2 linked regions of the Lytechinus pictus genome follow. The protein of the gene in region 1 binds, or shares a complex with, the protein of each later gene. Links are inferred from orthologs where the notes say so. Each region holds a gene or a part of one and is shown on either strand. Other genes may lie near its edges.

Region 1 (12,269 bases):
ACACTTAAAAGTGGTTTCTAGGTTGATATACAGCTTCTACAAATATCTTCATTTTTAATTTGTGAATCATGTTTCATTTTCCATAAGCTCAAATAATAGACAAGTAATTTCCATTTATGATATTTTATATCTCATTGTATTCTATTTTTTTTAATTTCCAATCTAGCCTTTCATGTATACTTGTAATCTGCATTCTGTAGAAAATTCCTTAGTGGTTTCAGCAGGGATCATTCAGTAATCATATGTTTCTTTTCGTTACCATTCAATTGATCGAGATTAAAATATCTTCCACTATTTTATATGTTCTTAAATCCATCGATAACCTCTTGTACTAGGTTGGATGTAGTTTTTTGTCAGTTCTAGTTTGCTTTATAGGTATGTTTTGTGACATAATGCAAGAATTACATTGCCAGAAGGTTGACATTTCATGCAAACACGACCTTTGACATTTACACTCCCATCTTGCACGCAAAGTTAACACTTGTATTTACCAAAACACATATATTTTGTTGTTGTCGCAAACTTTTGAAATGGGAGATTTAAAAAACACCTACCAAACGTATACTAAACAATGGGACTTGTAAGATTGACTTTGATTTTAACGGGAACTTACCTACCAAAAAAAAATTTAACTGGACTCACTCACCTCGTCAATCTGTTAAATGATGTGGCCATAATTTAATAAAAAAAGTGTGATGATGTTTTTAAATTTGATCTTGGTACTTTTATTTATATCTTTGTCTGATGGATTATGAGTGATTAAATGTATTTCATAACTTTAAAAAGTAAGTGGCTGTAGTTTAACTATAATTATTATGTTAACTGTTTTAGAGGAAAGTGAGATTACAAAAGTTACAAAAATGATGTGTTTTACTGTTACGGCAGTTTCTTATACATGTACTCTCTATTGGAAGGGCGGCGTTTGCACCAATGGGTCTACAATTAATTGCACACGTTATAGTAGAGCTTTATCTAGTATTTTCATTATGTGTAACTGCATTGCAAGACTATAATATATCTGCAATGCTATGTCTGTCATTGAAAGTGAGCCCATTGTTTTTATAATTTGTCACAAGTTGAAAAGAATCTGGCAATTTTAACTAGAATGATATTTGTGATATTGACTAAAAGAGTATTTGTGTTTTACATTGTTGTAGTCTTGTTTCAGACTGTAACCTGTATAAACCATAATTGTGAATCCAATTGAGTTGTGGAGGAATGGCTACCACTTTCATGAAAAGAGTTACAGTCATACGTACTGTATTTAAAAAATCTAGCTTTTAATCTTGCAGTTGGCAACCATTTTGTGATTTTGTATCCAGTGTTGCATAGGATCTGAAGGTCGAGAACATTTTAAAATCTACACACTATATGTGAAACAAGAAAAACATTGATTAGATATGAATAAAACCACATTGGAATCAGAATGTAAACTTTTGTGTGATATGTGTCTTACCGTTATTCAAATATAAAGTTCAGGCTTAACTGTTAATTCAAAGCAAGCTTTTGACATGGGCCAAGCCCTCTATAATCTAGGTGTAGACTGTTGCTGTATAGTAATGCTGCAGTCACATTTCCCCTACGGCGGCTATACGGCAAGTCGAAAACAGCCGTTTATTGTCTCGCCTGCATAGCAGAGCAAGATTAAAGGTGCCGCTTTTCCGACTGCAGCGGCGGCGTCAACATTGAAATCTTAACCAATGTTAAGTTTTTGAAATGTCATACCTTTCAAAGTAAATGGACCTAGTTCAAGAAACTTAGAAATAAGTATTACTGAATATCCTCCCCGATTTTTAAGGTCGCATGACCAAGGTCAAAGGTCATTTAGGGTCAATGAACTTAGACCATGTTGGGGGAATCAATATCAAAATCTTAACCAAGGTTGTTTTTTAAATGTCATAACTTAGAAAGTATATGGACCTAGTTCATGAAACTTAGACATAAGGGTAATGGTGCATCACTGAAGATTTTGTCTGTGTTTCAGGTCACATGACCAAGGTCACTTGGGGTCAATGAACTTTGGCCATGTTGGGGTATTTGTGGAATCGTAAATTTTTTTATGGATTTAGTTCATGAAACTTGGACCTAAGAGCAATCAAGTATCCCTGAACATCCTGTGCAAGATTCAGGGCACATGACCGAGGTCAAAGGTCATTTAGGGTCAACAAAAATGGTCATGTTGAGGGTATGTGTGGAATTGTCATAACTTTTAGGATATAGATAATGAAACTTGGACATAAGAGCAACCATGTATCCCTTTATATCCTGAGCATGTTTCAGGTCACATGACCAAGATCAAAGGTCATAGAAGGTCTATGAAATTTGGCCGTGTTGCGAGTATGTGTTGAATTGGTATCATAACTTAGAAAGTTAATAGATCTAGTTCATGAAACATAGACATAAGGGTAATCAAGTACTGTATGAATGATCGTTTTGCACATGCATGTCATATGCCACATGATCATGGTCAAAGGTCATTTTGGGTCAATGGACATATTTTATTATATTAGTGTTTTCTTTTGTGAATAATTCATTCATAAGCTGTTTTCAAAGGCAGCACTGCTGCTATATCGAATTGTGCAATGCAGGCGAGACTGCCAAAAGTGTTCCACTTGTATTTTTTTTTATTAACAAACATTTTTTTTGTCCCTTTAAAGAAGAACTTAAAAATGGGGGAAGTCCGGGTGCGAAAGGACCTTGCCTTCGGCAGACGCAGAACCAGAGCCAAAAAGTGGAAAGCGAGAAGGAAAGAATTAGAGGGGAAGTGAAAATGAGAAGGGGAGAGAGATGATAAAAAAGCAGGGGGGTAAAGTCTGGGGTAGAAACGCCCTCGTGCCCGATAATTCCCCAAGCTGCTGGCTTATACACCTATCCCGGCAATGAAGAGATTAATAGCACAAAGGAGAGTAGAAATAATAAAGAAGGGGGAAAGGAATAGAGATACATAGTTATAGAAAGAATTTGCCGAAAGTGGGGGCGTCTTTTGTTCCTTAAAATTATTTTCATAAAACTGCGAATCCATAATAGCATAAAAGCCAGTGCCTCGTCTTGTACCAAATAAAAAGATTAGGAAGGGACATGGAAAGATATGGGCAGATCCAGGAGCCAAAGCAGCCGCGTCCATCTATACTGGAGGCGAAAAACAAAGAGAGATGGAAGAGGGGAAAATGGATAAAGTAAAAGGAGGAAGAAATAATGTAGAGAAAATAATAAGAGGGGAAAATTAGCAATTAAACATTTCATCAAGCTTATTCGGGTCACTCTTCAAAATAGTAAAATTTTTTTTAAATCACTCGCGGTCGCGACATTATCCGCCCGGATTGATAATTTAAAAAATACTATTTTTAAGGATATTGATGCTTAAAGGACAAGTCCACCCTAACAAAGGTTGATTTGAATAAAAATAGAAAAATCCAGCAATCATAACACTAAAAATTTCATCAAAATCGGATGTAAAATATGAAAGTTATATGACATTTAAAAGTTTCGCTTAATTTCACAAAACAGTTATTTATGCACATCCTGGTGGGTATGCAAATGAGGAGACTGATGATGTCATCCACTCACTATTTCTTTTGTATTTTATTAAATGATATATGAATATTCTTATTTTATCCTTATTGTCAAGTGAAACAACGATCAATTCCTCCCTGGACATGTGGGATTGGGTTTGTTTAATACTGTATGGTTTAGTCAAGTTGGTCCTTATTGTCAAATCTGTAAAAAAAAATGAAATATTGTATAATTCAAACAATAAAAAGCAAAAGAAATAGTGAGTTAGGGACATCATCGACTGTCTCATCTGCGTTTCACTGAGTTGTGCATATCAATGTTTTGTGAAAAATAAGTGAAAATTTAAAATGTCATAACTCCTATTTTACATCCGACTTTAATGAAATTTTCAGCGTTATGCTAGTTTGATTTTTTTCTATTTATTCAATAAACCGTTTTGCTCGGGTGGAATTGACCTTTAATAAAGTGTCAGCTTTTCAAGTTTCATGTCACATGATCATTGTCAGAGGTCATTTGAGGCCAACAAATTTAATATATATATACATATATATAATATGTATGTATATATATATATATATTGGTTTTTGTGAAAAAGAACAATCTTAGTTGTCAGCACCGGTGCTATATTGAATCGGGTAATGCAGGCAAGACTCTCAGAGGCATATTCCACTTGTTATATTATTCTCATCCAAAGTATAATACTTTGGCGAATCCAGGGGCCGTAAAGAATTTTAAGAGGAGATATAAAAGTCAATATAGAATAAAGGAAGGGGGACTTGGAAATAGGAAAAGAAATACATCACAGTAATTTTACAAACAGAAAATTCTACTGCGCTTCGCGCTCGTATTGCCTGTTTTATATGATGAATATCGATCATTGCCTATTAAGAGGATCAAAATAGCTCTTCCTGTTTTTAAGTCAATGTATGAAACTCGGTTTTTGCTCCGTGCTTCGAGGTTTATTTAGAATTTTAATTAACGAGATATATACGCATCATGTTTAGTGGCGGATCCGAGGGTGGGGCTGGGGTCACATGCCCCTATTTTTCAGGTAAAAAAAAAAAAACATTCATAAAAAATTATCTGGCTTGTGATATTTGAGATGCTTTCGCTTCATGAGTGCTTATGCATCTAATTTTTAGCTCGCACTTCGCGCTCTCAATAGAAATATTTGATGAACGAGATACGTACTTATTCATTAATTCATAATATGCAGCATTGAATCTCTTTTTCAAGTCACGCGCTTCGCGGTTGCAGTTATTGATTTATGAGATGCATACACATAGGCGGCGGAAGCGGGGGGGTGGACGGGGGTCATGTCCCCCCTAAATTTGAGGTGGGGTGGGGACGGACCCCCCCCCTAAAATTTATGTTGATACCTTTTTTTTTTCTGCGTCCCCCCCCCTAAATTCAGGTGGACCCCCCTAAAATTCTTGTGCCCCCCCTAAAATTTTGGTTGATAACCTTATTTTTTGTTTTTGCTTGTCAAATTTTTTACCTGAGTCCATCCCAAAATTTCAGGTGGACCCCCTTAAATCTTTTGGCTTCCGCCGCCAATGTGCATACATGTATGATTCTATGCAAAGAGTCCTGAGAAAAGCCATTTTTCAAAAACTTTAAAAAAGGGGGGAGTTCACTCTGACGATCTAAAAAAATAGCAGAAAATGCAAGATATTCGTTAAAGTCTGAGGAAAATGCATAAAAGATTTTAAAAGTAATTAGAATTTTACCTAAAGGATATCAATAGACAATTAAGTCAATTTAAATAAGTTTCTCTTCATCATTAATTTTGTGTTACTGATATCACGTAGACAATGAATCAACACAAATGTTCACATCCGCTCTTGAAAGAAATATTTTTTTAATCATATCATGGGCCATTAAAAATTTATGCATTTTATATAGGGCAGCTGCTCTTATATACGTGATAAATAAAAAACTTAAAATTCTTACAATCTTCTTAATCTTTGATAGATTTCCCCTCAAACTTTCACCCATTCTTCCCCGGGTAGGCCTATTTTTAGAGCAAACTTTTAGTCAGGGGTGAACTTCCCCTATAAGCCCCCGTTATCAATTCAAGCTTTAGTCCTTATCTAGTTTGTTAAACTAAAGCTAAATTATATTTAAACTTCAGTCTTATAAGACGCCCCCAGATTTTTTGCTGTTTGTACCATAAAGGTGGATACCAGGGGCGGATCCAGGATTTTCTACGAGGCTGGGTAGCACATTTTCCCGAGGAAAATTTGACAAGCATAAAAGAAGTTCCTCCCTTTTGTTAATTTCCATTAAAAATATATGCTGTGACTTTCAAGGACGGCATACAAATTATTTACATAAAAATGATTTTTTTTTTTTTTATTATTATTTTTCTAATAGCTTTTTTTAGCGGAGAGCCCCGCTAAATGCGGGGCTCGTGGCAAAATGCCGGGAGAACATCGCTATGTATGAAACATTGATCTTTAATGTTTAATGCATAAAACATGGGGGGCACTGGTACGGGTCGGACCCCCCCCCCCCCCCGGCCCCCCCCCCCCCCCATCCGCCACAATATTTCCGTAGTTTGGTTTGAGCACTGATCTCAGTCATGTCTAGTCTACGAGCTGCCGAGCTAGCTAGAGGGCGACATTTCGACATGTGTGATCATCGTTCATGCTCGCAAGAGCCGTCGATCAGAACAACGCTACAGATGGCGTCGAAACAGTTGATAAATCTACATTTAATCGCTGGACAACTTTGTGTTTGGCATGCTGATGGTAAGAACATGTGCTATTTAGTGAAAAAACGAAGGTAATGTGTGATTGTGAAAGAAATGACTCGTGCGTGATGCCTGGAGCTGGATTCGAAAAAGTGGTGGTCCCCAAATTCTACGGACCAGCGTGTTTATTGCCCCGGAGAGCTGAGGGGAAGGTAACGCTTCGCGGGCCGGAGCCCAGGACTCGTCCGTGTAATAATATTATTAGGCAGAGGATACTCTCCAAAAATGGGGTAGAATGGGGTCGTAATAGCACCCCAAATAAAAGGGGAAATATAAATTATGCACTTACCTCGATTATATGGATGAAGGTCTATCGTGACACAGAATCCTGACATCCGAGGCACAAAAAACTGGACCCTCAAAAAAAGGAAGTTCTGTCTCGTTCATTCTCCTTCTTTCAAAATTGAAAACAAAATCATGGCCGATCGATACTGAGAACGAACACGACATGGAGTCTAACTTTTCCTTTTTTTGAGTGTCCAGTTTGTGCCTCGATGTCAGGATTCTGTGTCACGATAGACCTTCATCTAATATAATCGAGGTAAGTGCATAATTTATTTTTTCCACTTTCATTGCGACCCCATTCTAACCCAGTTTGGAGAGTACCCATGTCTGCCTAGTTTAGTAGTATTACAAGGAGCAGGCCGGAGCTCCCTGGGTTAAAGGGACAGTAACCCAGAGAGCTTCGGCCCACTTCGCGTGCCGGAGCCTAGACCAAAAGCTTCGGTCTCTGTTATATTGGTTGTTCAGCTGAACATCCTGGGCTCCACTCACCAATTACAGAGACCGAAGTTCTAAGTCGACTAAAGGGACTCAATGGCCGTATTTTTATGTATTAAAGGAGAATGAAACCCTTGAAACCAGCTGAATCCATATCAAAGAGAAAAATCAAAGAAACATATTGTTGAAAGTTTGAGGAAGATTGAATGAATAATAAGAAAGTTATGAGCATTTGAATATTGAGATCACTAATGCCATGTAGATCCTCCCATTGGCAATGCGACCAAGATCTGTGATGTCACACACGTACAACTCCCTCATTACTTTAGTACTTATTTCACTTATATTCTCACTTTTATAGAGTCTATCACAAGGTGAGGTGTTCTCTTTATGAGAGGACAAGTACAGAGGTTTCACAACATTATATCATTGATGAATCGTTTGTCATATGATTAGAATGAGCAAAAAGAGATGTTTTGGGGTATATTTTCAGTGTCCAAAAGGGGAGAGTTGTTCATCTGTGACATCATAGATCTTGGTCGCATTGCCAATGGGAGGATCTCCATAGCATTTGTGATCTCGACATTCAAATGCTCATAACTCTTCTATTTCTAGTCCTATTTTACTCAAACTTTTGTTGATCTTATTCTTTGATTTTTCTGCTTTCACAAAAGCTAACTTGCTCCAAGAGTTTCATTCTCCTTTAACTGTTTAAGTTTGGATAAACCAGGGAAGTGGGAGTTGTGCGACAGCCGAAGTAAGTCACCGTTTTTTTTTTCCTTTTAAGTTTATTTTTTCCTGTTTTGGTGCATTTCAGGCCAAAGCGGTATAATATCCTTTATTTTGGTCCAGTTCGTTTTATATATTTTATGAAATGAAGACACAAATCAATGAGTGCCATCGGGGGGAATTTGCATTGTTAACCCCCTTAATGGCGGCTGCACGAGAAATTTAAAAATGTTTAAAAAACTCCTCGAAACAGATGGCTGCCAGCTGTCTAGCAGCATCCCAGAAGGTAGCCATAGGCTGCCACAGTTAACAAATACTACCATGTCATGGGTACCTTCGAGGTTTGGGTTACCAAAAACACTCAATATTAAAGGGGAAAAAAAGAAATGCACCCACCTCAATGCTATGGATGAAGGTCTAACAGACTGCATGAATCCTGACATCGAGGCAAGAAAGCCGCGTTCGTTCACTCACTTTCAAAATTGCAAACAAAACTGGCCGATCGATATACTGAGGGCGCATACGCGAATTTGCCAAATTATTAAATTGTGGGTGCTTTTTATGCTATTATTACTAATTTATCACATTATACCGTAATAGTGATTTCTTTGATTTTTTTACACAGAAGTTGAAATACTTCGTCGTGAACACCATATTGTGGGTTCATTGATAGGTGCTTTGCCTGGAGCTCCAAGGCAGAATATACAGCTTGGTCTACCTCTACAACTCATGCCAGAAGAAGCAGCTGTGCTCCTTCAACATGGTATGTATAACACATATATGAAGAGTAAATGTTTTTTTTAATTTTTAAATATGTATGTTGGTTATGTGCTGAGCTGCGTTAGTGATATTAATGTTGGACCATGTCCACTTTGTAGAGTGCCCATCGAAAGGCACTTTTCAAGAATTTTGAAGGATATTAAGAAGAATCAGAAATAAAATTGTTGATGTGTTTTTTTAAAAGAAGTTTATGATGTCTTCAGGGAGGCTGGAAGACCCTTAGAACAATTTTTTATACAGGGGGTATCGATGTAAATTTGACAAGCACTACACAATGAAGATCATTTTGGTCCTGAAAAATTTGACAAAAAATGAAGAAAAAAAAGGGGGGTCATTATAAATTGTAGATAATTTTAGTTACATATCTCAGGGTGCGACATAAGCGCTTGCCCGATTGCCCAGGGCAAGTAAAAGTTAGAGTCGGGCAAGTGTTTTGAAGTAAAGACAAAAACTACTTGCCCGAATCGGGCAAGCAAAATTCTCACTGTGAAATGAAATTTTACAAAGTTTCCCCATACTTCACATGCAAAAATAAAGACGAGAGAGAGAAAAAAACAAAGTTAACAACTTCCCTCAATTCAAATTGCAAGCCAGTTTGCGACATTTTTGTGATCTACACACAGAGTCAGCATACATGTGGCTGGTGCGCCCAGCCTCCAGCCTGTGTGGCAGGCATGCATGGATCTCCATGCTGCTGTGCACACCTGTACTATCCCCGATCAAACTCCGAACCAAAGTGAACAAGCTCACATGAAAAATACTTTTTCCAACAAAATAATCACAAAATCGGCGGGAAATTTTTTATACTGGATTCTCAGATCACTGATTTGGTGATGTGATCGGAGGAGCAAGTTATTGAGTTTTCATTACTAGTTTCAGCTGTTGTTTTGAGTGTTGTGATCGGTGTAGTGGGAAGAAAGATGCGTGCAAGTCCACGATGCCGCAATGATTCATTTGATTTTTAAGTTTGTCAATGTTTCTCTGTAAATTTTTATTCATTTCTAAAACGTTTATTTTTCCAACAATTTTCAAAATATATTTAAAAGAAATATCAGCAAGATTTTTATTACATGATTGCATTTTTTGTTTTGTTTCAAATTTGATCCTTCTTCCTCTTTCTTTCTTTCTTTTTCTTCCTTCCGTAAGTAATCCTTGCTCCTTCCTTCATTCCTTCCTTTTTTTTTTCTTTCTTTCTTTCTTTCTTTCTTTCTTTCTTTCTTTCTTTCTTTCTTTCTTTCTTTCTTTCTTTCTTTCTTTCTTTCTTTCTTTCTTTCTTTCTTTCTTTCTTTCTTTCTTTCTTTCTTTCTTTCTTTCCTTCTCTCTTTCTTTCTTTTCTATCCTATCTTTCCCGCTTGCCTTTTTTGTTCCATCTATCTTTCTTTTCAATCTTTCCTAGCTTTCTTTCCTGATCTTTTTTCTCTCTCTGTTAATTTTTTTTTCTTTCCTTCATTTTCTTACATGTACTTTCCTTCTTTTTTAAAATTTCTTCATTTTTTCTTTCCTCTATTTTTTCTTTGCTTCCTTCTTCCATTATTTTTCTTTTTTTTTATTCTCTCACTTCATTCTTTTCATCCTTTCTTTCAATCTTTATTTTCTTCTTTCCTTCTCTTTTTCCTTATTCTTTCTCTCCTTTTTTGCTTCTTTCCTGTCTTCCCCTTTCTTTCTTTCTTTCTTTCTTTCTTTCTTTCTTTCTTTCTTTCTTTCTTTCTTTCTTTCTTTCTTTCTTTCTTTCTTTCTTTCTTTCTTTCTTTCTTTCTTTCTTTCTTTCTTTCTTTCCATCCTTCCTTCCTTCCTTCTTTCTTTTCTTTCTTTCAAAATATGAAGGAAATCTTTTTTCCTTCATTCTTACTTTCTTTCCCCCTTTTTTATTTCTTTCCATTCTTTCTTTCACCCATTAATTCATTTTCCCTTCCTTTCCTGTTCTTTTCTTTCCCTTTTTCTTTATTCAAAGAATGAAGGAAACCTTTTTTTCTTTTCTTTATTCTTTTTTCTCCATTCATCTCTTGTTTTTCATTTTTTTTCTCTCCTTCAATCTTTCCTTCACCCATTCTTTCACCTTCCCTTTATCTTTCTTTCTTTCTTTCTTCCTTGAAAAAAAATTACAAAGTACAATAGTTCACGTCTAAAGAGAGGAAAGGGGCAATGGTATATAAAACCATTCTATCTTTTGCAGCGGTAAAACCTTATTTTGAAAGATTTTTTTTCGGGCAAGTTTTTTCCAACTATTTAGAAATTCACTTGCCCGATTGGGCAAGTGCTTCTAAAAAGTTATGTAGCACCCTGATATCTCCATATTGCCACACCTACCAGAATTCCAGGGGGGGGGGGGGTACTGCCTACAGACAATGACACATGCTGCACCCCCCAGGAAAATCTTGGGGGTGCTTTAGCCCCCCTAGCACCCATGCTTCCCTGGGCCATGGAGGGCTGTTCCATAACTTGGATGAGGAGTAGACGAATAATCTCTCATCTGGGTTTTGAGGGCAAGACACAATATACCTGTACGTGTACTTGCAGGAAACTATGTCATGAGAAAGAATTCAAAATAGTGCCTTACGGGTATAGTCACCATATCATTGTAGAGAAGGATTGTCATATACTTGTCTTTGTGAAATCCAAAAATTTGATTTGAAAAAAAAAAGTAAATCACACTGCTGATTGCCAACTCGGCCTTCACACAGCTCATTATTATTGCTTGGAAAAAGACCCTGTACCTGACTGGAATTTCTCAGCAATTGCATCTTTTCTCTCCGAAATATCATACGGCACATATCTGTAAACCCTTTGGTTGTCATTTTATTGGATTCTGTTCAGCCATATTTCGATTATTACCACAACTGGAATGCTATTATCGAATTAGTCCAACAGTTTCACAAACATTGCAGGCGTTGATTCTGTATCAGTTAGGCCAGATTGAAGTTGATGATTTTTCAAGACGCTATTTTTAAAGGAATCGTATTGAGGCCTTACTGTTCTCATGCATTTAGTGATTGTTTATGTATTTCTCTTTGACTTGTTTGTCATAGGAGTTGGTAGACTCGTGACAATGTCTGTAGCCAAACCAAGTAAATACCAAGTGAAGGCTTTTGACCAACAGAGGATGGATTCTATCAAAAAACAGGTAAAATGTCCATTATGTTTATTTTGAAAATGTTAAAACTCTATAAATAAACAGGCAGTTTATAGGGTTAACCAGCAGGGGTATTTAAAAAAAATCCTCCAAAGTTGCCGAAATTTTGCGTTTTACATCTTTACAATTACACCCATGAAATTGCCTTCTATTTTCCATATTTCCTTGAATTTGTTTTCATTCATTTTGAAACTATCAAGAAAAGGAAGAATATTCCACGGTTTTTTAAGCTGCATGTGATCAATTAAAAAATACTCCTAGATAAGATTGAAGACAATTGTAGCCCTCCTTCCCTATAAAAAATAGTGTAAATTAATTTCACTGTGTAATCCGTTTACTGTCGTACAAAGAATCATTGAAGTTCTACTTGGTTTTTTGTGCAGATTTTTATATTTTTTTGCAGTAAAACAAAGTTTGACATTAAAAGGAAACCTTCATATGATTTTGTATTTCAGAAACTTCTGTGGCAAGAGCATGTCTTGGAACAGAGGAATCAGCTGAGGGAGGTGATTGAAGAAGGGAGAAGAAGAAAGAAGGAACAAAGGAAAAAGATGGGAAAAGAGTTGTCCAAGAGAACAGGGCAAGAAGAAAGAGACGATCCTACTGAAAAGATGGAAACTAATTGTGAGGGAAAGGAGAAGG
Region 2 (12,847 bases), on another chromosome or scaffold:
AGTAGAGCATGAAATTCCGACATTTTTGTAGTAATTTGTTGTTTTATGTGTTGAAAAGGCTTGAACTTGGCAGTTTTTTTAGTGTTCTTTCTCCAACTTTACTTTTTAAAAACAAAATTTTTGAAACTGATCAATTATAGAATTGCTGGTATATGATCGAGATTTATCAAGACATCTACAGAGTAAAATGCATCATTATTTCTCCTCCAAGAACAAAATTTTAAAAAAGTGTAAAGAAACAAAACAAGTGGAACACCGTTGGCAGTCTTGCCTGCACTATGAAATTCAATGTACAGCAGAATGGCCAACTTTGAAAACTAAGAAGCAAGATGAATATTTACATTGTATTTCACAAAAAAAAAATCATATGATGATAAAAGACGAAGTTTATTACCCTAAATGAACTTTGACCTCTGACCTGGAACTTGCGCAAATGATAACAAAGTGATCCTGATTACAGGTTGTGTCCCAGTTTCACCATTTACTTTCAAAGTTATAACATTTCAAAAGCTATTAAACTTAGGCCCTACTTTAAAGTTTGATTTCAACCCTCCATTTGGCCACCACTAGTACCAAATATTTGTTCAGTTTGGGTGACTGTCGCAAAAGGAACTCTTTACCAGTGCTGACCGGATAGGCAACAATAGCACACTTTCGGGGTGGCGCATTTGTAGAAAGTTCTGATACACAAATGCACATAATAATGTGAATGAACTGTATAGTGATTCTTTTTTTTCTCTATTTCATTATGAACTTTTTGAGTGAAATTAGGCCTAACCGCCAACGTAGCCTGGAAAAAAGTAAAATACTTGCATCGGCCGATAAATATCATGATATTGTCCTTGACCAAGTTTAATTATGTGCTTGACAGGATAACCTGGTAAGGATTCATGTCTTTCAATGGCAATGGTGTATTGAGTCAATTTTGAAGGAGCTAGATATGGCAGATTAGGTAATGTGTATTAAAAAGTTGTGAGCGAGCGAAGCGAGCAAGCAAAAACTTCAATTTTTATGAGAATATCCAATTTTGTGACAGATTTTGACATAATATTCAGAAAATAATATCATATTTCACTGCCCATCTGTATGGCACTGTTTAAAGGCACCATAACCTTTGTAGCACAAAATGAAAGGATTTGAAAAAAAAACACATGCTCTTCCATACTCCGGTTGAAAAAAAAATATTGTTTTTGCTTGAAGAAGGAATATTCAAAGCTAATAGAGAACATATTAAAAAGAAACAGAACAATTCAAGCAAATAAATAGATTTGAAAATGAATTTTGACCACATAATTTGAAAATTATGGCAAAGATAATGAAAAGGTGAAGAGGAAGTCTGCTGATTAGCAAGAAGTCCAATCATCATGTTTATCATTTTATGCCATTTTGGCGCAAGCCTCATTTTCATCCCCAGACAAAAACATTCCGTGTTCGCTCAAGCATGAACGAAACAGATTTTTTTAATGGCATTTGAAAGATAAGACTTCAGAAGTTCAGAGAACCTATCAACACCAAAATATAGACATCATAATTTGAAACAAACATTTTATACTATAGACTTCAAATCTGTTCCGTTTTTTTTATACGCACTGTATTTCAATTTAGTTTTTTCATGCTAAGTTAGGCTTTTCACACAGAAATGACAGAGGAAGCAAACTTCGCGAGTCGCGACAACATTCGTGTCGATCTAGATTCTAGATAAACTGGTTCAGTCAACTTCAGTGGTTGTTTTTTTCCTAGTTTTTGACATTGCTTCCAAGGGCTTACCGGTACATAACCCAGGGAGCTCCGGCCCGCTTTGTGGGCCTGAGCCCAGGAGTCGACCGCGCAAAACGAGGGAGACACTGGACTGGGGTAGATTGGGGTCTCAATACTAATCTTAATAATAGTGTGGAAACAGAAATTATGCACGTACCACGATTATATGGATGAAGGTCTATCATGAGTAACACACAAATCCTGACATCGAGGCACAGACTGGAACCTCAAAAAAACGAAATATATGGCAGGGGGTCCTAAAGCTGCGCGGGTCCTAAAGCTACGCACCACTCAGTTTTTATGGCAAATGCGCACTCTGTGTGTGGAACTGTGACTGCAGAGTGACGAACGATTCCTATTTAATTTTTTCTACAGAGGCTGCAGTAAATCTCTAATTTAATGCAGAGAAACCAATAACTGTTTGGAATTTTGGAGTTATATTCGCTTAAATTTCATTTTTTCCTATAATAATATGAATATATTTTAGAAATTGAGGCACAGGAAATACTATTTTTTTGCATGATAAATCGAGTGCGTAGCTTTAGGACCCCTTCTACATCGGGTGGCGAAATCAAGAGGTGTTCGGAAAACATGGCGGGATTTTCGTATTAGTGAGTTTTGCGATATTTTCTTCTTGGTTAATGATCTTTAGAATGTTTGCCACAAATTAGTGAAAGATATTTGTTGAAATATTAAAATTGGGATAGTTTTTATTGTTTGAAAACAAAGTGCGTAGCTTTAGGTCCCCCCATCATACATGTAGCCTCGGTCTCGATCGGCCATTTTGTTTTGAATTTTGAAAGGAGAGGTATCGCGACAGAACTTTTCGTTTTTTTAGGTTAATACTTCCAGTCTGTGCCTCGATGTCAGGATTTGTGTGTCACGATAGACCTTCATCCATATAATTGTGGTAAGTGCATAATTTCTGTTTCCACATTTTATTAAGATTACTATTGAGACCCCAGTGTCTCCCTCGTTTTGCACGGTCGGCTCCTGGGCTCCAGCCCGCTTCGCCACTTGTTCACTGCAACCACCCTGCCTGTGGGGAATCTACAGGTTGGACTATGGCATGCCAATGCTGTACACTACAGAGCACACACTTTAAAAAATGATTAAAATATCACTTTTGTGACCAAAATTACTAATTTCCACACAGTTGCAAACTTGCAATTCATTTTTCATTTGTAACTTGGAAATAATTTTTGTATTCACTAGAGCACTCAAAAACTTGAATTTTGGGCATATTTTTGTATACGCCCTCTATTGGTGGAAAATAATATGGCAAGAAATTTTGCATTTTTTTATCTCTATTTTTAATTAAAGGAAAATGAAAGGATAGATTTATTATCTGGTCATAAACTGATTACATTTCACTGATTAAAATAAAATTAAAATGAGGCAGAACGGTTTCCTATTTCCCATGATATGCCAAGTCAAATTTATCAATATTTTGATTTTGAAAGACCCGTGGAGATCGCCATTTTGCTCATCCTCCCTATATCTCTGTGGGGGGGTTGTGACGTCAGCGACGTACAACTCGGTGTCCGACCTCGGCACTCGCCTTTGATTGCTAGCATAAAATACATGGGCCAGAGTGGATCTGGCTGCCGAAAATAGGTCAGTAAGGGGCACAAAATGCAGCTTTTGCCAAATTCCTGATCCGCAGAAGAGGCCAGAAATCTCTTTAAAAATGATTGGCTGCACTAAAGGTGGAAAAAAACTACAATTCTTCCAAATTCAAGAGGAATGATGTTGTTCGTAGCGAGCATTTTACTGATTTCTTCGGCCGAGTATTGGGGCTCGAAGTCGTAGGCTCTCAGGCCTTCTAACTAAGTTCTATTTCAATACAAACGTCCGATAATACTTAAATCGATGGTAACAAATAATAAACAACGTTAGATATAATGAAATATAGCACAATTAACAATTTAACGATATTCAAACGGGATAAACAACCAAACTTCCAACATAAAAGTCAACACGATCACTCGGTTCAGGGGCCGGCGGTCGGCACTCAAGTGTTCATTACATGCTGCCGCGCACAGAAAAATCAAGCCATGGAAGTCGTGTGTTGTGGACACCAGAAGGAAGATCCCAGCACGCGCGATCCACTAGATAGAAATCCACTGAAAAATGCGGTTCACGGTGCTAGCTATATACTAACCTCGCAATACGTGTGATGAGTGGGTGGCTGCACTGTCTACGAACAAATTTAGCTTTGTCAAATTTGCCAATTTGGATATCGTAAATACATGTGTAAACATTTTCATCAAAACTCATCAATTTGTGTTTTAAACCATGAAATAATTTTAATAGCTTTTTGATAATTATTTAAAGTGTTTTATGTGTATATTATATTCATATCTTGTAAAAAAGTATCTATATTATGCAAACTCGGGGTTGGTTTCAGCCTGTGACTAGCTGCACATGGAAGTTAGTACCGAGAGCAGTTGTACGTCGCTGACGTCACGATTTTGAATGAACCTCGCAACAATGGCGATCTCCATTTAGTCAAGAGACTTTGAACGTGAAGAAGCCCAACTTTGAAGAGGTGGTACTCCACTCTGGGAAATCGGATTTGGGTATAAGTGGATTCATTTTTATTATCATTTACTTATCAATGATATTATGTGGTATTACATTTTGGGTTTCATTCTCCTTTAAGAAAAAAATAATTTAAAGAATCAAATTTAGGCCTACTTAAGAAATAAGGCCTTTAACTAAGGGCCAAGACCCAAGTTGTATGACGAATAGGTGTAATGGAAACTGTCAGTGTAAAAAAATAAAGCATTTGTCCCAAAGAAAAAGAGAAAATAAGCCAAACATTGCCATCCTTATTTTGCCACACATCGAGATATAACTGAGAACAAGGTTATATCATAACCTTGTTCAACCTTGAATGAGTGCGCTTCGCGTGCCAGAGCTCCATGGGCCTGGGTTAACCGGTACGTACTAACATAGAAAGAAAGGTGTGGGGCTGTTGACGTTGTGAATTTTATCACGACCAGAGAAATATACAACAACCCCAGTGAATAGTTGCACGTACGGATTCATAAAACGTATTGTCTGATTTGTTACCTTAGGATGATCTGAAAACCAAGAAAAGCGGTCAACTGTCACAGCTGTAGTTCCGGAATTTTGACCAGAATCCATTATTCGTTCTTGCCTCTTGGTTTTCGGAGTGACCGTGGTAGGTCTCGAAATATCTCGCACACAATATCAATAGCTCTCGATTCCCGCGAGATTTCACTTGTTATGTTAATTAGCCAAACTCTTTGACCAATCAGAGCCTGAATTGATGATGTCATATAATAATATGCACATGTTGATGTAAACACAGACATGTGTCATTCTAAATTTAGAAATGCATGGAGAGTTGCACTTGCTCTCCGATGTCGCAATACAAGGAAGACAAATTCCTGAATATATAAAGTTAAACCAATATTCACAGCAGCATTCAGTATTCCAACCGGCTGCAAGCCAAACAGGCATAAAGCCTTCTCGAAAAGGATTTTTCTTCTACTAGTGAGAAAAAAATATTGAGAATGGTTGCTGAAGCAGGAGAAATACAGGTGGAAAGTTTCCCCAAAGCCATCACTGGGAAACCACCTTCGAAATGTGCTGAAAAACTTACTGCCAAAAAAGCGGTGGTGTTGGCTCGCAAATCCAGTAGGAGAAATAAATCTCAGACTAAACCAAATCTAACGAATTCAGACAATGATACTGACATCGACAGTGACAAGAAGGAGAAAAAAAGGAAGAAATTTCAACCAGCTCCATGGTTGTGTGAAAACATGGGCGTTCAATCGGCAGCCCCAATTCGTTCCTTTTTGGATGACGCAATTGCCTTTATGGAAGGGAAAGAGCAGCCAAGTGAGGGCTGTTACAACAGGTATGATGAATCAGGATTTAACTTTGACGAGTATGAACGTGTCATGTTCCATCCAGTGAGATTAAAAAGGAAAACATGTTTAATGCACCGAGTGAAGACTAATCCCAAGATTAAGAATTATGCTACAAAATGCAAATTACAAGACAAGGTAATTGTGCAAGGGAAGAAGGTTGTGATTAATAATGGTGTGATGTCTCGACTTAGTGCACAGGATGAGGAGATCACAATAATCAAAGAACGACGAAATGACAGGACTTCTCGGAAGCTCGATCGCCTTGGTATACCAAGATACAGTGAATGGGTGCCAAAGGAGTCACAGACGGCTGAAAATGCATCGACGGCAAAAACGAAGCCAAATTACACCCGCGCAAAAAGGCCACGAAGGGGAATTCAAGTTGCCTTTCGGAAACCTCGCTGGACCCCAGAGCAGAAGGAGCAGCGAGTTTACATCCCACACGAGTTCGAGCTCGTGACCGCTCAAGTGGACCACGATGACCCCGATGAAGCGAATCTCTTGTGCTTCCTCCTTGACCTACAGCATCGAGAGATGACACCCGAGGACTACGACATGCTCCTCCAACTCGACGACAAGATCGCGCCGAAGACCATCGAAGGCGCCAAGCTGGCCTCCCTCCGAACCGTGACCGTGGTCGATGTCGCGACCGACGGCCCAGGCAAGGGTATTCCCTGGGAAGATTCGCAGTGTGCGGTCTGCATGGAACCGTATGAACAGAACCAAACAGTTAAATTCTTGCCGTGTGAACACTTCTTCCATTCGAACTGTATTGAGATGTGGCTGAATAACAGTGGTAATACCTGCCCATTGGACGGACTAGAACTATGACTATTGCATAACATAATACTCTACCTATAATACAGGCCTACACACATAATAATGATCTTTAGATATTTTAGCCAATCTTTATTGGTGGGAAAGTTCATAATATGATTGTGGGAAATGATTTTGAAAAGGATGTATTTTTCTTACTAGAAAATGAAACTCTTCAAAAAGCCATTATAGTTGTAATTATAAATGATATCAAAATTTACCCATGTCTTCTTATCAAGAAGTAACTGAACAAAAATCATTATATCATTATTTTCCGTATTTATTATCAAATTACGTATGTAATATCGGCAATTGTTATCAACTTGGGATAAAGGGGTTCTCATTAACAGTTAATGTGAAGTCAGTTTTTTTTTTTATATTGACAAAAATGAACGTCTACATACAGTACTATGTGTAAATACAGTGCCAGGTTTGAAAGTGCTTAGACAACATTGAAGGTGCTTTTGTAGATTGAATAATTGGTATTTAGAAGATCGAACCATATTCATAAACAAAATCTATAAAGCGTATCTGAACAACTCGTAGACCTAAAGTTTCAAAGCTCACGGCATGCACTGCTAACTTATTGTGCAATAAAACTAAATATGTGGATGTTTAAACATTGTATTGTCGGTGATGTAGGAGCCAAAATTGGTTGATTTTCCTCATTTTATATTACCTGTTCTCGTTTTACCCTATTACCCAAGATATTTTCTAAGAAATGTACAAAAATCTGTTTGAAATAACTACTTTATCACTCTTTGTTATCCAATATTTGAATAGAGTTCCAGAATAATTCTCTACTGCATGTAACAAAAAATAGAACAATTCTTTTATGCCTCCCTCTTGTGGCAATAAGCACTAAAATTTGAAAAATAAAAAGCAATATAAGACATTACACACAGTTTGAATGCATATTGGTTTTGTATTGAATTATGAAATCTGATATTTTACGGTCGTGCGATCATATTCGTTGTCATTACAAAGTTGTGAAAGGCGGTACGGATATTTATAAACGGATGTTTATGTGCGGAGCGGGATGGGGCAGATGTGGGTGAGGAAGGGGGTTTAGAAAAAAATGAGGAGATGGCAGCAGAAGAGAAAGAGTGGGAGAAAGACAGAGATAAGGAGAGTCGATCGATAGAGGGAGAGAGAGACGAGAGAAGGATAAGAGATGCAAGTGTATATCAAACTGCAAATTTGTCGAACAGCGACAAAAAACTATATCTCTGAAAGTTTAAGTCATTATTAATGATACCTTGATCATGTTGAATTCATTTCTAGCAGTATGCATCACTGAACAAATATTATGGTGCATGGTCCTCGAACAATCAATTTATCAGCAAAAAACTGATATATTGTATTTTGTCTTTTAATTTAAATTAAGTATTCTTATTATCACTGATTTGATATTTTTCTTAGATACATAATATTTGTGTTTTTTTCAAAACATCCCATTATATTTTCAGACTTATACGCACATACATAATACATACAATAATGGGCCTAATTACCAGTATATGATATAGGAAACAAGACTAAAACATAGAGAGGGGAGAGAGGAGAGATCGGGGGAGAAAATCATTTCAAGAGAAAACGTTCTGACGTATATAGGACCTTACTCGCCTTCTGTTTCCCACTCATCCGATTCCGACCCTTTTTAAAATTCCAATAGGCCTATATCGAGACAGGGTGGGGGAGTTGGGGAATAGGAGAGAGACGTAAAGAGAGGTGCTCTATTTCAATGCAACATGTGGCATTTGTAAATCTATAAGCATAATGCGTAAATTGAGGGAGATGAAGTCGCGTCGTTTGGGATTGCATAGGCCTAGATGTGAGCCGTATGGCTGGTGTAATGTTTTTTCGTTGAAACGATATGATATTTATTTATTGATTGATTATAAAGCGATCCGTTATCTTCAATGTACAGGGCGTATCAGACCCCCCCCCCCCCCCCCATCCGCTCTGAAATGCCTCTTTTGGAGTAGATAGTATAAAACTTCCATATATCGTAATAACAACGGACTGAGCCTTCTCTGTGTATGCTCCCCTCTACAACCCTACGTGACGAGGGGCAAATAAGCTTCCAGCTTTATGTCTCTACATCCAAGTAAATCCAAGTAAGTAAGTAAGTAAGTAAAAGAACTCCTCGATCCACTCACGTGTGAAGCCATATATACTGCCAGGAAGACAGGGCCCTGATTTCAAATAGGGGGTGCTGGTGTTTTTTTTTTCAGGAAATTGTCGTCAGAAAAAAAAAGAAAAGCCCCCGCCCCCTTCCAAAAAAGGGAGTAATTATTTCCTTCTTTGGGAGTAATAACAATAACCTTTTTTTTTCTTGTCAACTTAATTTTCAGGGGGTGCTACCTTTGGTAAATAGCATATACGCAGCATCCCTCAACCTGCAGGGCCATGCATGAAAATAACAATTAATTAATTAAACCTACATTATATACCCTTCAATAATAAGAAGAAAAAAAACCAAAGAAGATTATGACGTCTATAAATGACTGGCCTTTACATGTACAGTCCAAACTTAAACGTTATAAATTACTTACTGTTAGCAAAACGGAGATTAAAGTTTTCTTCAGAAATTGTTCTCTCCGTTTAAATATGATGTCGCATACCATCATTAGACCATGTAGACAGAATGCATTAATAGGATGTTCTAGGAACTCTTTGAAAGGAATGAACATAATAATAAAGGGGGCGTGGCGAAATAGATTGAAATACATAGGTCCTATTGCTTCTCGATGTTGCAACCGCTTGTCCTTTTCGCACGTGTTTTTTAACAATGTTGAGACAGGACTTTTTGGAAACACGATCGAAGAGATGTTGGTGATTGCGAAAGAACAATAATGACTCGATCCGCGCGCCGTCTTCTTCTCCTCGTAATTTCTTTTCCAAGCAGTCAAAATGTATTATGTTGAGGCTAATTTCTTTCAGAAAGGGCCTACTTAATGATATCTTCCATGAATGGTATTTCATAACTGATTCGGTGTCCAAACTTGTTAATTGCAATTTGATATTGCTACTAACTTTATTATGGTTCAAATTCAAATTCAAATTCATTTATTTCACTTCCATCAAACAAAAACAAATTGTATACCATATATAAAACATAAATATTTGTTTATGTTATAGCAAAAGTAAATGACAATGTCATTTGGAAAGACGGTTTTCCATGATACAGACTTAATTTTAAACAAAAATCGGACAATCACAGAGGCAACAGTGAAAGAAATTAAATTAGAGAATCACGTCTGAAAAACTAGACTATCCCATTGCGTCACTATTGAGCAACCACGGGGATTCCCCGGAGTTATTATGATCCTCTCCCGCCCATCATGCATTGCCCGTTGATAAGTACAATGACAGGCTAGGGCACAGTTTTCATTGTAGCTGTCAAACTTTGAGGAGAAAGGACCATCATGGCAGATCCCGAAGAATTTCCTGGTCGCATTACGCGACTTGACAAAAATTATGCGAACATTTCAGTAACGGGAAAGCCTGGAACTTCCCGCCTGGACACGTCCTCTGCTCGCCGCATCACAGGGTCGTACGTGGGAGACCTCCGTGACATCCTGGAACCCAATGCCCGACTGAAGGTTCGGGTTGTTCCCATGTCAGAGGAGGCGCTCTCCAAGATCCCTGATCGCATTCGGAATGCTGTCAGAAGGAATTCCCAATGGGAAGTAAAGTTTTTCAGGAAAGACGTCGAGCCAGCACCGCAGCCAAGCCGGTTCGACGCCCCAGAGAAGCATTTCACAGATCTCAGCTATTCCCTTAACATACCTCGGGATGCTATCGGCAGGATCATCTCGGCATTGCTGCAAGTCACGCAGATGCTCAACAACACAAGTCTTCAGAAGCTTCTCCCTCTTGTGAAATCGCATTTCAAAGTCAAGAATATCCCCAACATCGGCCAGCATTTAGCAGCAGAAAAGGATCTTGAAAGGATCGTCCTCTCATTTCCACAATATTTCACGATCTCATCAAGGCCCCCGGTCGTGAAGCGATCTTGTGGGTTCAGCGAGGAAGTTTTCAACCCAGCAGTCACCAAGAAAGCCCTTGAGATACAACCCGTTCGCACTAAGGGAAATAAAAGCAAACCTTCCGGAGCAACAGCCTCAGCAGCCAGTAGTCCTGTTGAAATAAAAGGTAGGCCTAAGCTTATTTCTTAAAGTGTACATGACCAAATTTATCTTCACACGTTTACAGAACGTCTGGAATAATAATTTAAAAAAATTATATCATCTACATTATGTACGGCATGGAAAGAGGGGGACAAAGAAAAAAGTGAGACAAAGAGTGAACATGGGAATTAAATGATTAGAGTACATAATACAGAAATTGTAAAAAGGGAAAGAAAAAAGGAAAATAAAACTAAATCACAGAAGATAACTCAGTCAACCAAATGACTTTAAAAAATGACAGAGAGTTTAAGCAAGAAGAAGGAAACGAAGAGAGTCCTTGTTGGTGTATGGTTTTGAAAGACAGGTGAATGCACGATGGAAAGTGTAAAGATGCAGCAAGGTTTAAAAAAGAAAGAAACCAAATCCTATAGTCAACGGACCGAATTTACAACAGATAAAGAGCGAAATGATAATATGATATAATGATAACAATAATAATCATAACAATCATACTTGCTTATTATAGTGCTACTTTCTATATCAGAAGTCTCTAAACGCTCGACAGTAATGCAGCATAATTACATTGGCTGTAACATGGGAGTTAGTAGATTCCTATCCATGACCAGGTATTCTCCTCACCTGGGTTGAGTGCAGCACGTGGGTAAACTTGCTGAAGGAATCGAACCCACGTCCCTCAGATTGAAAGGCGAGTGTCATAACCACTAGACCATGCACGACACCTCCTCATTATGCTAAGAATAATTATGCTATATTATTTTGTTGACGAAGTTACACTCCTCTCCTCTTCAATGTTGCTTATTTTCATCGCTCGCTGTGCTCGCTTGCTGGTATTTATTCAGATAAGGAAGTAAACAGATTTGGCAAGCCATGATGACATCTCAGATAGTGATCGTGTGATATAAACCTTCTTTTAAAAAGGCGCTTCAAAGAGATATTTTATAACATTATCTGAATTTCTCAACAAAATGAAAGTCTATTTAGATTTTTTTTCTTATGTTTTCATATCATTCATATCCTATATACAGTTTTCGTATCAACAAACATAAGGCGGTTGCGTTTTGGGGGCATGAATCATCATTAATGATCTATCATTGCATTTTTTTATGTTGCTGCTATCAATGATTTTTATATTTTCTCTGCAATCGCTCTCTGTATATTTTTTCATTGGAAATGTATTTTGTTCCGTGTATATTGAAATTAAGAATGTGTAAAAACATGTGCAATTATTTTTACTGCAATATATGTATTTTAATAAACCATGTATTATTTTGATTGATTGCTTGATTGTTATATTGATTGATTGATTGATTGGTCAATTGATTGATATTATTGATTGATTGATTGGTTGATTGATTGATTGATATTATTTATTTATTGATTAATTGATTGATTGATTGATTGATTGATTGATTGATTGATTGATTGATTGATTGGTTGATTGGTAATGTAACGTTTGTTAAGACCAAACGAATAATGTGGATTAAACGTTTGCTAGACGGAGGGAAAAGTTAGGGTTGGAAAGCGACCTTCGAATATTTTTTTAGCTCTTAAAGTGGTGGTCGCATCATATTTCTGTGTGATTATGATACGAGTAAAATGAATTTGAAAGGTATACCATTATTTTACATAGATCTGTTGAAGGCATGGCACGAATTGGATAAGTGTAGACATTTTGGAGGGAAAAGTAATCCCATTATTTTTAATAACAAGCGTATATGCCTCAATAATAAGACCTTTCTTTATATTGAATTATTTCAGAAAGGTATAGTTAAGGTATCGGATATAATAGTTGGAGGTCAATTAAGACCAGTTTCATACTGGTATAATCTGAAATTTTCAACTGAAAACTTGCTCAGAATTCAAAAGATATTTTCAGTAATAACAGAAGAGTGGATACAAGGTGATTTTATGGAAATGGATACAGACAACTTTGAAATTCAACTGATGATATGTGGGCATGTTCAGAAACTATGTGATGTAAAATCTAGACGAATATATGACCACTTCGTTGAACATTTTCAAATTGATTATGTATTTCATGTTACAGATGGGCAATCCGAATATGATCTGGGAATGGGGGAGCTGAAAGAAGTATTTCTGAGACTGAAATGTGCAATGCTATGCAATAAACACAGAGAATTTCAAGACAAACAATTGCATGGGGCTGTGTACACGAAAAGGGAACTTTTTAAATTTGGTTTTGAGACAGAT

The links.
Region 2: the proteins of tRNA-splicing endonuclease subunit Sen34-like (region 1) and tRNA-splicing endonuclease subunit Sen15-like are in contact, whole or in part, in a crystal structure (PDB 6Z9U), measured with the Homo sapiens proteins. The link is inferred for Lytechinus pictus from reciprocal best matches to the Homo sapiens genes TSEN34 and TSEN15. Residues at the interface, in NP_001070914.1 of Homo sapiens: Pro251, Leu252, Arg253, Phe254, His255, Ala256, His257, Tyr258, Pro265, Glu266, Asp267, Thr268, Ile269, Pro270, Leu271, Gln272, Leu274, Ser283, Val284, Arg285, Lys286, Thr287, Leu289, Leu290, Cys291, Ser292, Gln294, Val300, Tyr301, Thr302; in NP_443197.1 of Homo sapiens: Leu70, Lys74, Trp76, Thr108, Pro109, Ile110, Thr111, Ala112, Ser113, Leu114, Ser115, His116, Asn117, Ile119, Arg120, Leu123, Leu141, Ile143, Val151, Tyr152, Tyr153, Lys154, Leu155, Thr156, Asp157, Gly158, Phe159, Met160, Leu161, Pro162.

What each region holds. Positions count from the first base shown.
Region 1 is NC_087245.1:38,263,304-38,275,572, reverse strand, and holds the start of tRNA-splicing endonuclease subunit Sen34-like, read left to right. Parts: upstream 1-6,109; 5' UTR 6,110-6,145; coding exon 6,146-6,266; intron 6,267-8,342; coding exon 8,343-8,480; intron 8,481-11,523; coding exon 11,524-11,618; intron 11,619-12,082; coding exon 12,083-12,269. UniProt on the Homo sapiens protein: Constitutes one of the two catalytic subunit of the tRNA-splicing endonuclease complex, a complex responsible for identification and cleavage of the splice sites in pre-tRNA. It cleaves pre-tRNA at the 5'- and 3'-splice sites to release the intron.
Region 2 is NC_087259.1:12,401,468-12,414,314, forward strand, and holds the start of tRNA-splicing endonuclease subunit Sen15-like, read right to left. Parts: upstream 5,304-12,847; 5' UTR 4,912-5,303; coding exon 4,837-4,911; intron 1-4,836. Other genes in the region: uncharacterized protein LOC129277298, read left to right, coding at 5,304-6,494; uncharacterized protein LOC129278362, read left to right, coding at 9,911-10,640. UniProt on the Homo sapiens protein: Non-catalytic subunit of the tRNA-splicing endonuclease complex, a complex responsible for identification and cleavage of the splice sites in pre-tRNA. It cleaves pre-tRNA at the 5' and 3' splice sites to release the intron.